Linked DNA regions of Sus scrofa. The protein of the gene in region 2 purifies or fractionates together with the protein of the main gene of each other region. This does not show direct contact. Links are inferred from orthologs where the notes say so. Each region holds a gene or a part of one and is shown on either strand. Other genes may lie near its edges.

Region 1 (2,773 bases), on a different chromosome or scaffold from region 2:
CATTGACTAAAATTGGTAGTTTCCAGAATTATGAAAAAAAACTCTAAAGTTTGCATAAGGTGCATTTATATGTTTGCAACATTTATTGATGGCCTTGGCAACAGGCAGTGTGCTGGACATTCTTTTGATGACTTAGTATCTGCTTCGAATTTATTGAGGAGTTTTTTTCCTTTATACATGGCAAACTCAGACATATGAGGGATATAGATGAGGCAGAGTACCAGTGGTCTACCTTTTGAAGGCAAGGTGGAGCTCGACTGGCACATTGCTTGCATTGTTTTTGGATAGTTTGGATTCATGTTCGTATTTTTTATCTCATAGGTACCCAGGCACTCCAGCTGATTTAAATCCCAGTTCTTTAGCATGCTCTCAGCTTCAGAATTATGATCCTGACAGAGCCCTGACAGATTATATCACTCGGCTAGAGGCGCTACAGAGACGGCTTGGAACTGTACAGTCAGGTACCCTCAGCTTAACCAAGTACTGGCAGCACCATGGTGCTAGATAGACCCAGAACTCTTTCTTTTCTTGAAATTCCTTGACCTTCCTCATTAGGACAATCAAATCTTAAACTTGAGTATGAGTTACCAAGCTAGATTTAGGAATTTAAGCCAAAACTTGATTTATCACCCTGGATCCCACTCTCCTGCTTATCTCATTAAGACAATTGATTAGGTGAAGTACATGATGAGCATCTATGTACAAAGTACTCTGAGACACACAGAGTTTCTGCTGGAGAATTTGCTGCCAAGTGATACATGCTGAGGCATCCAAATAAGAGCTGGGGAGATGAGAGGAGGAAGCAAGTGCTTTTTATATGTGATCCAAGAAACCCATCCTATTCAAAGGACTGTGCAAGAATGACCTTTTATTGTCTCTGCTAAAAACAAAAAAAAACAGGAAAAGGGAGGGGGAAAGAAAACCACACAAAAATTTTTTTGTACTTAGTAAATGTGGAATCCCTTCCCTTTTTATTGTGGGAAAAAACCTCTCTTCTCTGTCTCTCAATTCACTCCTGATTCAATGGTCTTGAATCATTTTAATTTAATGAGCTTTAAGTCAGTTTATATGTATGTATGTGTATATGTATATTTTCCTTTTATTAAAGACCCTTTTTTCCTACTATTCCCACAAAATAGATAGGACTAATAGCCAGTTATTTTAAATTAGTAGTTTGCCTCTTCATATAAGAAATTGTCTAACCCAAGCAACTTATAGTTGTAGGAAGCAATTATCATAGCAGGACTTGGTTGGCCTGAGCATTTATATTTCACAAGACCCAGATTTTTAAGACCAAGAGGTATTTCAAGAGGCAAGAGGTATAGAACATTCAACCTGCAGGGCACTTTACAGAGAATCTTATCATTAATCTCACTTAGCATGCCCTGGAGCCAGCCACGGTGAGTTTTGAATATATGTTCAAGGTCTCCTATTGTGTAAGCCAGCTGCTACAGCTCTGATTCCACCCCTAGCCTAGGAATCTCCATATGCCCTAAAAAAAGACACACACAAAAAAGAGTCTCTTTTAAAAATCAGTTCAATTCTGAATAAGATTATTTTAGGCAGAAAAAAGTTTTTAAAAATGGTGCCTCCTTCTGCCCTTCATGGAGTCAGACGCGCTACCATTGCGCCACAAGGTCCCTCTTCTGCCCTTTATGAACTGGTTAGTCTGATTTAAGTCACAATCTCATTGAAATCACTGAAGTATCCTATTTCTATGTTACAGGTTCAACTCAGTTTCATGCTGGCATGAGAAGATAATCCTTTGAAACATGAATCAAAGTGATTTTAAACAAATTCCCTTTTGTAAATCAATGGTTCTTTTGTGCTTTTGTATTGTGGATATTCACCGGGACCAATACAAACACAGCTTATGATTGTATACAAATCCCTTGCCAGCACATGAAAACAAACTGGATTCTGTACATATAAGCATTGTGTATGTATTCATGCACAATAATCATCAAATTACATGTATATTTGTGGAATGCTAATTTAAATGATTAAATTATAAACCTTGTGTATTTATCAAATGGGTGAAAAGATTAAACTTTTGCGCATTATGATACTGTTGAATGTGTAGCTCGAGGTGTCCTGCACTTTTCTTATAAGGCTACTGAAGTTACATGTTACTGCCTAATATATTTGCTACTGGTGATAAAGACAGATAATATCACTTGTAGAGACCTATTTTTGTATAATGGTAGAAGTTTTGGATTTTATGGGGTATTTTGTCAAGTACTGAAATAAAAATGACTTCACCATTTTAACTACACTGTATTTGAACCTTTTTTTGTTTTCATTTTTTTGGTTTTTAGGGCCACACCCACAGCATATGTAAGTTCCCAGGCTAGGGGCTGAATCAGAGCTACAGCTGCTGGCCTGCACCACAGCCACAGCAACACCAGATCTGAGCTGCGTCTGCCACCTACACCACAGCTCATAGCAACGGCTGGATCCTTAACCCACTGAACAAGGTCAAGGATCAATCCCACATCCTCATGGATACTAGTCAGGTTTGTTTCCAGTGTGCCATAATGGAAACTCCTGAACCTTCATTTTTAAGCCACAGTTCATGGTGCATGTCTTATTAGTCTGTTCAGGTCACCATAACAAAATACCATAGCCCGGGTGGCTTACAAAAACAGCAGAGATTTCTCACTGTTTTGGAGGCTAGGGAAATCCAAAATCAAAACACAGCAAATTTGATGTCTGGAGAGAGCCTGCTTTCTGACTTCCTAACTGCCGTCTTCCTGCTCTGTCCTCACATGGC
Region 2 (4,253 bases):
GGTGTGCATGAAGGGGCAACTTGGGAAATAGCATGGCTTCTCCAGTTTCACCTATGCCCTCTCCCCAGGGGCAAAGGATATCTGTGCCTTGTGGTCTGCTCAACACCATTAAAGTACTGCTGGCCCAGGGTGGAATATAGGGATAGAAGAGATATCCAGACCTAGTCCTGGGAATCCTGATTGTATTGCTCAAGAGGAGAAAAAGGCACAGTGGTCATTCCTGCTCTGGGACTTTCTCTTTCTCTCTTGCTCTCTCTGATTTTTGTTGTTGTTGTTGTTCTACCCAGTTTTGTGGAGGGTTTCTTGCCCTTTTTTGGAGGCTTAAGTTCTTCTGCCAGTGTTCAATAGATGTTCTGTGCGAATTGTTCTATGTGTAGTTTTGTTTTTTTGATGCGTGTGCCACTTCCAAGTTGAGCTCTGCGGTCCTGCAAGCCGTAGAGCACATGGAGTGGGAGTTGTCAAAAAACAACTTTCTTTTGTGGGAGAAGGTGAGGGAGACATCTTAACTCCTCTGCCATCTCGATCCTTCTCTCCTGCTCTGGGTCTTATTCCCTTTTCTCAAGGAACATGTTTGACCTTCTGAGCTCTTCCAGGCTTATTTATCTGCCTTTGGCTCCAAAATTACTATATCACTGAAACTCCTCCTATCTACAAGGTCTTCTCCCTTTGACATCTCACAGTCTTCCTGCCAAGACTTCTGAGGGGCCTATGGTCATGCCACTATTCCACCCTGAGGTCTGGGTGGTTCTGACTTTACCAGGTCTTTGCACTTACTGCCCTCTAGGCCACATGGCTTTTCTTCAGATGCTCCTATGGCCAGATCCTGCCCAGGCCTCTGAGCCAGCTTAAATGCCATCCCCTAATGTGGGCCCTCTTGCTCTGCACTATAGCTGGAACCACTCTGAGGTGGTAATGTGCATTTTTACGTTGACTCTCGGTTATGTCCCTGGCACTTAGTAAGGGCTAGCAAACGGGAGGATCCTAGGGTGTGTTGAAAGTAGAAATTAAAAATAAGCGGCGCCAATGGACCCGCTTAACGGGAAAACCATTAATTGCTGCGCCTTGCGGAGAGACTGCCCGGCAGGCCCGGTGGGCTATTGGCGCACGCGCACTGAGGGCCAGAGCGCTGGCGGGAGCGCGCACGCCCGCGGCAGCGTGCGTCACAACCCGGGCTCCTGCCCCGCCCGTCCCGCTTGCCCGCCTGTCGGTACCCGCGGCTACGGCGGCGGCTGCCCAGTGACAGCGGCGGCGGTACCAGGCCGGCCGGAGTAGCGTAGGGTGGCGTGACCCGGAAACGCACACCCGGCCAAAGGGCGACCTGGCGCGAGGGGGGCCCAGCCCAGGTCGCGCGTGAGGAGACCTCGCGGGTGCCGGGCGGGAGGCCGGCGTGAGGGAGCGCCCAGACAGTGGCTGCCGGCGGCCGGGTCCTGCCTGTCCTCGCGGCCGCCGCCGGCATGAGCCACATCCAGATCCCGCCTGGGCTCACGGAGCTGCTGCAGGGCTACACCGTGGAGGTGCTGCGGCGGCAGCCACCCGACCTGGTCGACTTCGCGGTGGACTACTTCACCCGCCTGCGCGAGGCCCGCTCCCGAGCCTCCACCCCACCCGCCGCCCCTCCTTCCGGCTCCCAGGATCTAGAGCCCAGCTCTGGCCTTGTCACCGACGCGATCGCGGACAGCGAGTCGGAGGACGACGAGGACTTGGACGGTAGGAGGCAGGCTGGGCCAGGGGTCGCGGTGGGGGGGTCGAAGGAGCAGTGGCGGGTCGGGTAGGGGTCTCTAGGAGTTCCAGAGGGGGCTTCGGGGGCTAGGCCTGCAACCCTGGGCCCGGGACCTTGAAGCTCTCGAGCGGAGTTTGTCTGGGTTCCCGAACGGCGGGCTTGATCCCCGCGTGTGCCACTTCCAAATTGAGCTCGGCAGTCCTGCGAGCCGTAGAGCGCACGGAGTGGGAGTTGTCAGATTCAGCTCAAGAGAAACGTGCGCGCTTTCGGCCCGCATGCTGGCGCGGGGCCGGAGGGGCGTGGAGCCCACGGCTGCTTGGCCTCTGCTGGAGACCCTTCGCCCACTTTCGTTCCGAAGACAAGAACATTCACATCCACTGACTCATATTTCATAGCCAGGAAGGTAACTTTGTCTGGAAAGAATTCATTTTGTGAAGTTATTGTGAAAAACTTCGAGCATATACAAAAATAGAGAGAAAATGTGAAATGAACCCCCTATATGCCATCACCCCCATTACACAGTTGAAAGATCTGTCACAGATGTTTCAGCTGTATTTTTTTTTTCCTCTTTGCTGAAGTATTTTAAAGCAAATTCCAGCATTTCACCCTTGGTCCTTGAGTATGCATTTCTTAAAGTACGGATCCTGGAAAGAAAAAAAACCCTATATATATAATATCTATCTATCTATATATATATATATATACACACACACACATAATAATATAATAATAATTTATATATATATATAAATTTGGCTAAGATAATTGGATCAAATAAATTTGATGAGGGTAAACAATAACTTTTTTTAGCATACGGGTTGCAGGAAAGAGAACAGTAACACTTTCTATATATATTTAAGCAGGGTTGTCAGAAAGCAATTCCATTTTCCTTGGTTGCTTCAACATAGGCTTTGTCAACTTAACAATAGAATTACCCTACTTTTGAACAGCCAGATTTTTTGAACTCATTTTAAAAAATTAAATTATAGGAGTTCCCGTTGTGGCGCAGTGGACAAATCTGACTAGGAACCATGAGGTTGCAGGTTTGATCCCTGGCCTTGCTCAGTGGGTTAAGGATCTGGTGTTGCCCTGAGCTGTGGTGTAGCTTGCAGACTCGACTTGGATCCCACGTTGCTGTGGCTCTGGTGTAGGCCAGTGGCTACAGCTCCGATTAGACCCCTAGCCTGGGAACCTCCACATGCCACAGGAGCGGCCCTAGAAAAGGCAAAAAGACAAAAAAAAAAAAAATTAATTATAGTTGATTTACAATGTGTCAATTTCTGCTGCACAGCAAAGTGACTCAGTCATACACACACACACACACACACACATATATACACACATATATATGTATATATATACACACACACACACACATTCTTTTAATATTATTTTCCACCATGGTCTGTCCTAGACTGGATATAGTTCTCTGTGCTATACATAGGACTTTATTGTCTACCCATTCTAAATGTAATAGCTGGCATCTATTAACCCCACACTCCCAGCCCATTCCACTCCCTTCTCCCTCCCCTAGACAGTCAGAAGTCTGTTCTCCATGTGTGTGAGTCTTGGACAGCCAGAATTTAACAAAAAAGTGAAAACATTTGCAGGACAGAGTTAGAGACTTAGTGTTGCTAGATCATATTGGAGAAAAAAAACCCCAACAACCTAGTTCTGAATTGAATCCATATTCAAGTCAGACTGGCAGGGAGTTAATTATTGGTCATTGCTGTTAGAGGTTGTAAGCTTCAGTTTCTGGACAGCTTTCCTAAGTTTATTCATACCAAGTGTGGAAATTGCTTTTCTGGGTTTCCCCTGACTTAATACACATTAAATTATGGGTTTTTCACCTTGAACCTGGAAATCAGAAATTATTTTCCAACTCTGCCACCAGATCTCTGCCACAGAAGTGTTTGGTGGCCCAAGACAAAGCTGCGGAACCTGTTTGATTTTAAATTCACTTATCTTTAAAATAGGTACAGTGACAACAACTTCCTAGGGATAAATTGGTTTTTTATTTGTTTTTGCTTTTTGGCTACATTTGTGGCATGTGGAGGTTCCCAGGCCAGGGATTGAACCCGTGCCACAGTTGTGACTTGCACCATAAATGTGTGGCAAAACTGGATCCTTAACCTGATACACCACAAGGGAATTTCTGGGATAAATATGTTTTTAAAAGCTTTGTTTCAGGAGTGAATCCTACATTTGTTTCACTGTCATAACTATACAACACAAAGCTATAATCTGCTTTGTGACAATTTTTATTTACACAGAACAAATATTCTGTTAGTCCCGGATGAGTAAAACAGAGTTTACAAGTTTTGTGTTATATCTTCATTCTGTGTCATCTTTAATTAATCTTTTTCAAAATTGAGTTGGCTTAAATCTTTGTAACTGTGCTTTATTTTATTGGTATATAAATATTCTTTTGTTTATATCTCTTAAGTTGCTGTACTAAATATAATTATAGAAATCAACACAGAGTGAACTTCTATTTACAGATAATAGACTAAAAATACACTGCACACAGTGG
Region 3 (3,500 bases), on a different chromosome or scaffold from region 2:
ACAAAATTGTACATTCGATATAACATGCATAAGAAAATATATTAAGATGTTTTTAAAAAGGCTACCTCTGGGTGGTGAGACTATAGCTTTCTTGATTATTTTTATTTTTCTGTATTTTCCTGATTCCATACAATGAATATTTCTTCATACATATAAACACATTTTTTAAAGTTTTGGTGCTTATGACAAACACCTTATTTGTTAAATGCACTTGAAGAAGAAATATGTTATTAGCAATGAAATTTAGATTATAAAAGACAAAGTTATAGATGATTTAAAAAGGTGAAAGATTTATATGATCTGGAGAGAAACCAGAGTATAGTTATAGATGATTTAAATCATGAAAGATAATGAGAATAAAGCTGAAATAATTCTTTTATTTTATTCTAACACTTCTATAGGTTAGCCAAATTTGAATTATTCAGAAGGTAGTTATTGAGTGTCTAAGTATTGAGGCAGGTTCTCTTTCTCTTTCCTGGTTCCTGTCTATGCCCAATTATCAGTTTTTCTTTTCTGGCTTTCTCCACCAAAGGATGGCAGAAGAAAGGAAAACAGAGGTTAAAACATCATTTCAGATATGATTAAAAATTTCTCATCACATTTTCTCTGTTTAGAAAAGTAGAACTGTCTTAAGATTATATTCATTTGCTATAATACTATTTTTAAACTAAAGTTTAAAAAAATAATTCACATATAGTTCTTTCATTTAAGTGGTAAAGTTGAAACAAAGGAAGAAGTGACAACTAGTACACGTTATCTTTAGTTTGCCTCTTGGTGTATATAATGCAGAGCAAGGCTTCCCTCCCCTCTTCTTATTAGAAGTAATTATGAAAAGGCTATGCTTTTGGCTTCAAAACATGGATCTAGAGGTCAGATTTAGTCCTACTAATTCTCTCAGATCCAGAGTTAAAACTGACAGCTTCTAGGATTAGTGGTAGACTCTAAATAATTACTTTTTAGTAATTATGCACAGATAAAATTCATAATTTAGATTAAATAAACATAAAATTTGATCAGTAAACTGTTTTTTAAAATAAAAATCCACAGTGATGCATGCCTTATATTTATTTTTTCTTTTTTCGTTTTCTTAAGTATAGTTGATTTACAATATTATGGTAATTTATGCTGTACAACAAAGTGATTCAGTTATACATATACACACACCCATCCTTTTCCAGATTCTTTCCCCACATAGACCATCATAGAATACTGGATAGCATATGCCTTATATTTCTACTTCTTACATAACAACATTATAAATATACCTTGCTGAGAATTATTTCTGGAGCCAAATATTCTGGAGTGCCACATAATGTCCAGGTTCTGCCTTTAACTCTTTTGGCAAACCCAAAGTCTGTGACCTATAAAAGAAAAAAAACCCAAATACTTGTGAACATTTATTATTTACTGTACCTAAGTTGAAAGTTAAAAATCAGTGTTAAACTTAATACTATGAAAAAAAATTAAGTCAGAGCAACTGAGACTAGTCCAAGAAGGCCACTATTTAGTGAATGAAGTGTTAAAGCAACCTATACTTTAACCTTCTTGACTCAAAGAAAGAAACAAATGAACCAAAAAAAAAAAAAAAAGGTTTTAATAAAAATGAAGCAATGATAGGAGTGTTCCTTAAGTCTAGCATGTCCTCTGCCGTTAAATACAGCATCAGAAGTGCAAAAGCATCATTGGGAGAATCTATTGATAACTGTGTAAAAAGGAGTGCCATTCTATTAACAGCAGAAATGGAAAGAAAAACACTGCTACCAGTTCAATATTGGTAGCTGGGGTTCCTTTGGCAGCTGTACCATAGCTTTACAAAGCACGGATTCTTGAGACACACTGTCTGGGTTCAAATTCTAACTCTACCTGTGTTTCCTTGCTGTGCCCTAATTTCATTAACCTTAAAATGAAGATAATAGTAGTAGTTATACTTCATTGTCTTATCAGAATTAATAGAGATGATGTAAGTAAGACACTTAAAATAATGCCTGGCACTAAATGAGTACTCACAAATTTAGCTATTACTTCTTTAGGCAGGAGCCTGTGCTCAGCTCACAGCTATAGAATCTGGGGGATAAAAACAGATTTTATCTTCAATGGAACTCTTAGTTTTCTGTAATAGTGACAGAACTATGAGCTAGATTTAAGCTATTAGGAAGAACTGTCTACCCCAAAGGGGAAAAAAAAAAATCCAGTATTGGTAGGTGTGGTTAAATACAGACAACTTATTACCTAGTATTTTCTCAAATACATTATACATAATGTGTTCACGTCATACCTGGATATAACCTTGGTGGTCAATTAAGAGATTTTCAGGTTTTAGATCTCTGTAGATGAGGTCTAGTGAATGGAGGTACTCGAATGTTAGCACTATCTGAGCTGCATAGAACCGTGCATGGGGTTCACTATAAAGAAAAAAAACATTGACTTTTGGTAAAATGGTTTAACATATAGCAGTTAGTAGATTATACAAAAAAATAACATGAGGTAATAGTGTTTTGGGAGCAAAACTTGTTTTTTTTTTTTTTTTCCTTTTAAACATGTCAAGAATCTCGTTAGTTTCCAAATATTTATTAAATCTATAAATCATCTTTAAATAATACTTTGATCTGCTTAGTAGACAGCAAATGTTGAAAAATGTAACTCTCAGATTTTCACTGTATTTTCAATTATTGCTGACCATATTAGAAGTTACTGGTGTCTTTATAATTATATCTGACCTTGAGAATGATTGAAAAGTACCAGTTAGACTGTCAGGCCATTGCTGCTGTTGATAGGTTCCATCTACCTACCTTTCTCATACATTTCAAATACTTAAAGAATTTCATTTCACAGAAATCTCTAACTGCATTAATCTGCAGATTTATGCCATTTTTACCCAGGCTGTTCCCATTACAAAAGTGATACATGCTCATTATAGGAAAAAAAAAATTAATGAAGAATAAGGATACCAATAATCTCATTCAGAAACCACAGATTCAATCTTGGTATCTGAATTTCCAAATCTTTTACTATGCATGTTTGCTAAAACACAGGAATAATCTGTTTATTTGTGTAAATACACACAGTTCTTGATGCATAGATTCAACTAACTGATGGATTAGTGTAATTTTGATGCCATATTCTGAGTATTACTCCAAAAGGATGTACTGATTTTCTAGTGTGTTTCTAGTTCATCTTCTATTGTATACACTGAATTCTGTTAATCTCCCTGATCAAATGCAATGACTTTCAGATTTGTGTCCTCAGTGAACAACTTCAACTATGAATAGAATTTCCCTCAAGATGGTTGGCATGAGTGTGATCTGGTAGCAGCAGAAATAGGAATTCTAAAAAAAGACTGTATATGCTGTTCCTTTTGCTTGTCATTCACTGTATTTCCAAGGTCACATCCTGATATATACCAAGTGCTTAGCAAATATCTGCTGAATGAATAATGTGAAGAAACACACTTCTTTTGTGGCAATATTTTATAATACCCTTTCAGTTCCAGCCCCATCCCA
Region 4 (3,500 bases), on a different chromosome or scaffold from region 2:
TATAGGCCAGGGTGGGTATAAGATGAGTTAGCTGTATGCTTGGTGTTCTGTGGTCCTGTCTGGACATTGGACACAAGGGACCTCAAGGGGGGTCGGGTGCCATTTGCACTCCCACAAACCCTCTGCAGTCAGGACAAGCACAGTCATTCTAGACAGTGAGTTTGGGGGGTGAAAATGGAGTGGGCCAGTTGCCGAGGGGCTGACTTCCTATTTCTTTGTGTCTGGTAGATGATGGAGCTGGTGACTTCCGGTCAGGAGATGAAGAATTCAGGGGCGTAAGTTTGCCTTTACTGATCAACCTCTAGTGTCTCTTATGTGGGATTTTTTCCTTACTTCAGTGTTCTCCTCACAAAGAGGCAAGAACAGTTACTCTACTTCATGAGTAAATTTAATAATCAGGCTTGCAGCCAGGTTTCTAAGACTTTTCCACTTGCAACAGCCCTCCTTTTTCCTGAAAACATCCCCAACCTTCTCTCCAGCTATTCCTCTGTCCTTGTAGTGACACACCTAGCTGCACACTGGTAACTGTAGTGGTTGTGTGAGCTGAGGCTTTCAAACAGGCACTGAAAACTCAAGTGCTGCCAGTTCTGTGCTGGTGCTGAGCTGCATCCTTGTCATTCAGCTCTTAAAACTAGTCATAGGTCAGAGAGCCTGTTGTGGATCAGCAGTAGTGAACCCAACTAGTGTCCATGAGAATGGGTTCAATCCCTGGCTTCGCTCAGTGGTTTACGGAATCCAGTTTTGCTGTGGCTGTGGTGTAGGTCGCAGATGCAGCTTGGATCTTGTGTGGCTGTGGTGCTGGCCAGCAGCTCCAGCTCCAATTCAGCCCCTAGCCTGGGAACTTCCACATGCCACAGATGCAGCCCTAATAGGCAAAAAAAAACTAGTCATGGGAGATGGTTATCAAAGGCTGACTCTTAGCCAAGACCATATACAAGCATGTGGGGAGCAATCCTTTGCCACCCCCTGCAAATTCTGATTCAACTCTAAGGTAAGGCCTGGAAATCTGGGCATATGAAGGCTTTATCCACTTGCTTCTGATGTGTTTGGGGCAGGGAAGAGGGGAGCAGGATACAGTGAATTTTCAACTTTTCTGAGGGTCTTGCTTCCTTTCTGTCTAGGATTTCTTAGATTTTCGAGTCTGGGAATCTCTGCATATCTGTTGATGACTAATTTAATTCTCAACTTGATGTCTAAGGAGTGGCTTCAGTTTCAGTTTTCAGTTAGATGATTTTATCTGTAGCTGACTTGTTATAACTTTTGATAAATACAAATAAGTAGAAAAAAAGTAAGTTAGTCATTATCACAGAATCTCAGAAAGCAACCAGGAGTAATGACAGGACACGCAGGCTCCATCCCATGGCCCTAGGACTTGTCCTGGTACATTGTGGCTCTGTTCCTAGTGGCACAGTGACCACCTGGTGGTGGCAGGTAGCTAGGCCAGTTACGGAGAATTCTGGAAATTCCACCTCACAGTCCAACTTTGTATGTGCCCTTTTTTTAGGAGGACGAATTCTTCGACCCTGGGAAGCAGAGAGGTAGGCATCACCCAGCGTCCCTTTGAGCTTTCTTGTGTCTGCCCAGCTACCCTGCACTCGCTGCCTAACCCCCAGCTGGGCTGGGCTTCTGAGCAAGCCCAGGGCCTGGATGGAGGGGCTAGCAACTCAGGGCAAAAGAGGGGCCATGGCTACCAAGTGGGCCTTGGCCATGCCACTCACCCTGAGGTTTTGCCTCAGTGTTTGGACAACACTTGCTGGAAACAAATCTGGTTGCCTCACTCAGTGCAGGCTACAGAGACGGGGAAATTCATCTCTGGATGTCTGCAATAGTGGTAGGGAAGAGAGAGTTTCAGAAGTACAAGAAGGAAAAGAAAAAGCGCCCTCCAGCCTGTCTTCTCCGTTCCCTCCTTGGCCAGGGCAGGTCTGTGTGCTGTACACTGTGTACTGTTTCTCCTGGGCTTTATTCTGTCCATAGTTCTTACCAGACCAGAGCCATGCCCTCAGCCTCAATGAGGGGGACATGGGCACTGCGTGGGTCAGTTTGGACAGCTGCCTGGGTTGGGAGCTGGCGGTGGGGGAGGGGGGGCCTGTTTAGGCACATTCCAGCCCAGATCCTGCAGAGGCAGTCACTACTACATCAGGTCTTGCTAGTTTCAGTGCAAGTACAGAGCAATGTTAACCCGCCCCCGCCCAGGGGGAGCATGGAGAAGCGGCCACTTCTTTTCCTGTTCCTGTGGGTCCATCCATAGCTGGTTTCCCCCAAGAATCATAGGCTGGCTCCTTTGTGACTCTACTCCCATAAATTCCAAAGGCCTCTGGTTTAGATGTTCCTTTTTATATGTTCAGGTTTAGCCAACCCTCTGAGGCCCTCCTATCCTGTTTATTGACGTGATTATGTCTATAGCATGGGACCACACAGCATTTAGCAGCTCGTGCAGCAGGGTAAATGCTAAAGCAAAGGTGACATGTTTGTTGCGCGCAGGTCCTGCTACCTACCCGGGATGACTTTGCTTTAAACAGCAGTAATAGTTTCAGGCAGTGACCTCTTGCCAAAAATCCCACACGCCCTTTTGAGAGGCTTCTGAGCAGCGCACGCCGGTCGCCATCTTCGTGGGACAGTCTCGTGACTGGCATCAGGGGTAGGGGTTACAGTTCAGATGCTTATCCAACCTTTTTTCAGTGTCTGGCCCTGGCCTCAGGCTGGGACTCTGGGCTGCACAGCTCTCAGAAGAGCTCTTACACTGGCCCCATGGGATGGATGGAGGACCACTTGGTCTCTTCCCACTTTTGTTTTTGGGATTGTTTCCCATGTATCCCTGGGAAAGCCCTAGATTGATGGTTTTTGTGAGTGGAAGATAGAATTTGGGCCACCAGGGATTATCAGACCTGCTGAGGCCCTAGTTCAGAGGAGGCTGACGGGGCAATTATTATGGTCCACTGAGAGGTGGGACGGAGGGCGGTAAAGTGGCTTACTTTATTTCCTGAGGCCTTCCAACTGCTGCCTCTTTATCTGGGAAGAATTGCTTCTCTCTCTAAAGTAATGTTGGGAGAAGACCCAATGGTAGGGCGCTGGACTGGAAAAAGCAAGATAGGGAAGGACAGAGAGAGCAGGCAGGCCATGGTGTGAGTGGGATGGACAGGATGTGTCCCTGGCTCATCCCAGTCTTAGCAAGCCATGGGGGGAGTGAGGTGACTCCCTGGGGAACTACTGAGGATTCATCGCAAAGGCCCATCCCTGTTGGGAGCCTTTGACGCCCCTTGGTGCCTCAGGGTGTCTTGACCCTGCCACGTGTGGAAGCAGTGGCAGGGCATGGGGTATGGTGGCCAAACTAGCCCCCATCAAGGCCCTGGTGCTCAGCTCCTGTGAACTCCTCAGAGTGTCTCGAAGGGACTTCTCTGTTGCAGGAGAGAAGGATGATGAAGATGATGAAGTAAAGAAGAAGAGGGAAAAGCAAAGGAGAAGAGACAGGATGCGAGACCGAGCAGCTGACAGGTAAGGTG

What was found. Proteins that work in one complex are often made in the same cells at the same time.
Region 1: the proteins of PRKAR2A (region 2) and AKAP9 purify together in Homo sapiens (affinity purification with western blotting; 3 studies listed by BioGRID, with this or other methods). This does not show direct contact. The link is inferred for Sus scrofa from reciprocal best matches to the Homo sapiens genes PRKAR2A and AKAP9.
Region 3: the proteins of PRKAR2A (region 2) and PRKACB purify together in Homo sapiens (affinity purification with mass spectrometry; 6 studies listed by BioGRID and IntAct, counting the BioPlex papers as one, with this or other methods). This does not show direct contact. The link is inferred for Sus scrofa from reciprocal best matches to the Homo sapiens genes PRKAR2A and PRKACB.
Region 4: the proteins of PRKAR2A (region 2) and AKAP8 purify together in Homo sapiens (affinity purification with western blotting; 3 studies listed by BioGRID and IntAct, with this or other methods). This does not show direct contact. The link is inferred for Sus scrofa from reciprocal best matches to the Homo sapiens genes PRKAR2A and AKAP8.

What each region holds. Positions count from the first base shown.
Region 1 is NC_010451.4:72,052,626-72,055,398, forward strand, and holds the end of AKAP9 (A-kinase anchor protein 9), read left to right. Parts: intron 1-321; coding exon 322-461; coding exon of another isoform or gene 462-508; exon of another isoform or gene 509-1,726; coding exon 1,727-1,761; 3' UTR 1,762-2,273; downstream 2,274-2,773. UniProt on the Homo sapiens protein: Scaffolding protein that assembles several protein kinases and phosphatases on the centrosome and Golgi apparatus. Required to maintain the integrity of the Golgi apparatus. Required for microtubule nucleation at the cis-side of the Golgi apparatus.
Region 2 is NC_010455.5:31,514,206-31,518,458, reverse strand, and holds the start of PRKAR2A (cAMP-dependent protein kinase type II-alpha regulatory subunit), read left to right. Parts: upstream 1-1,453; 5' UTR 1,454-1,454; coding exon 1,455-1,707; intron 1,708-4,253. UniProt on the Homo sapiens protein: Regulatory subunit of the cAMP-dependent protein kinases involved in cAMP signaling in cells. Type II regulatory chains mediate membrane association by binding to anchoring proteins, including the MAP2 kinase.
Region 3 is NC_010448.4:129,545,196-129,548,695, forward strand, and holds part of PRKACB (cAMP-dependent protein kinase catalytic subunit beta), read right to left. Parts: intron 2,403-3,500; coding exon 2,276-2,402; intron 1,362-2,275; coding exon 1,266-1,361; intron 1-1,265. UniProt on the Homo sapiens protein: Mediates cAMP-dependent signaling triggered by receptor binding to GPCRs.
Region 4 is NC_010444.4:62,228,560-62,232,059, forward strand, and holds part of AKAP8 (A-kinase anchor protein 8), read left to right. Parts: intron 1-228; coding exon 229-275; intron 276-1,504; coding exon 1,505-1,538; intron 1,539-3,404; coding exon 3,405-3,492; intron 3,493-3,500. UniProt on the Homo sapiens protein: Anchoring protein that mediates the subcellular compartmentation of cAMP-dependent protein kinase (PKA type II).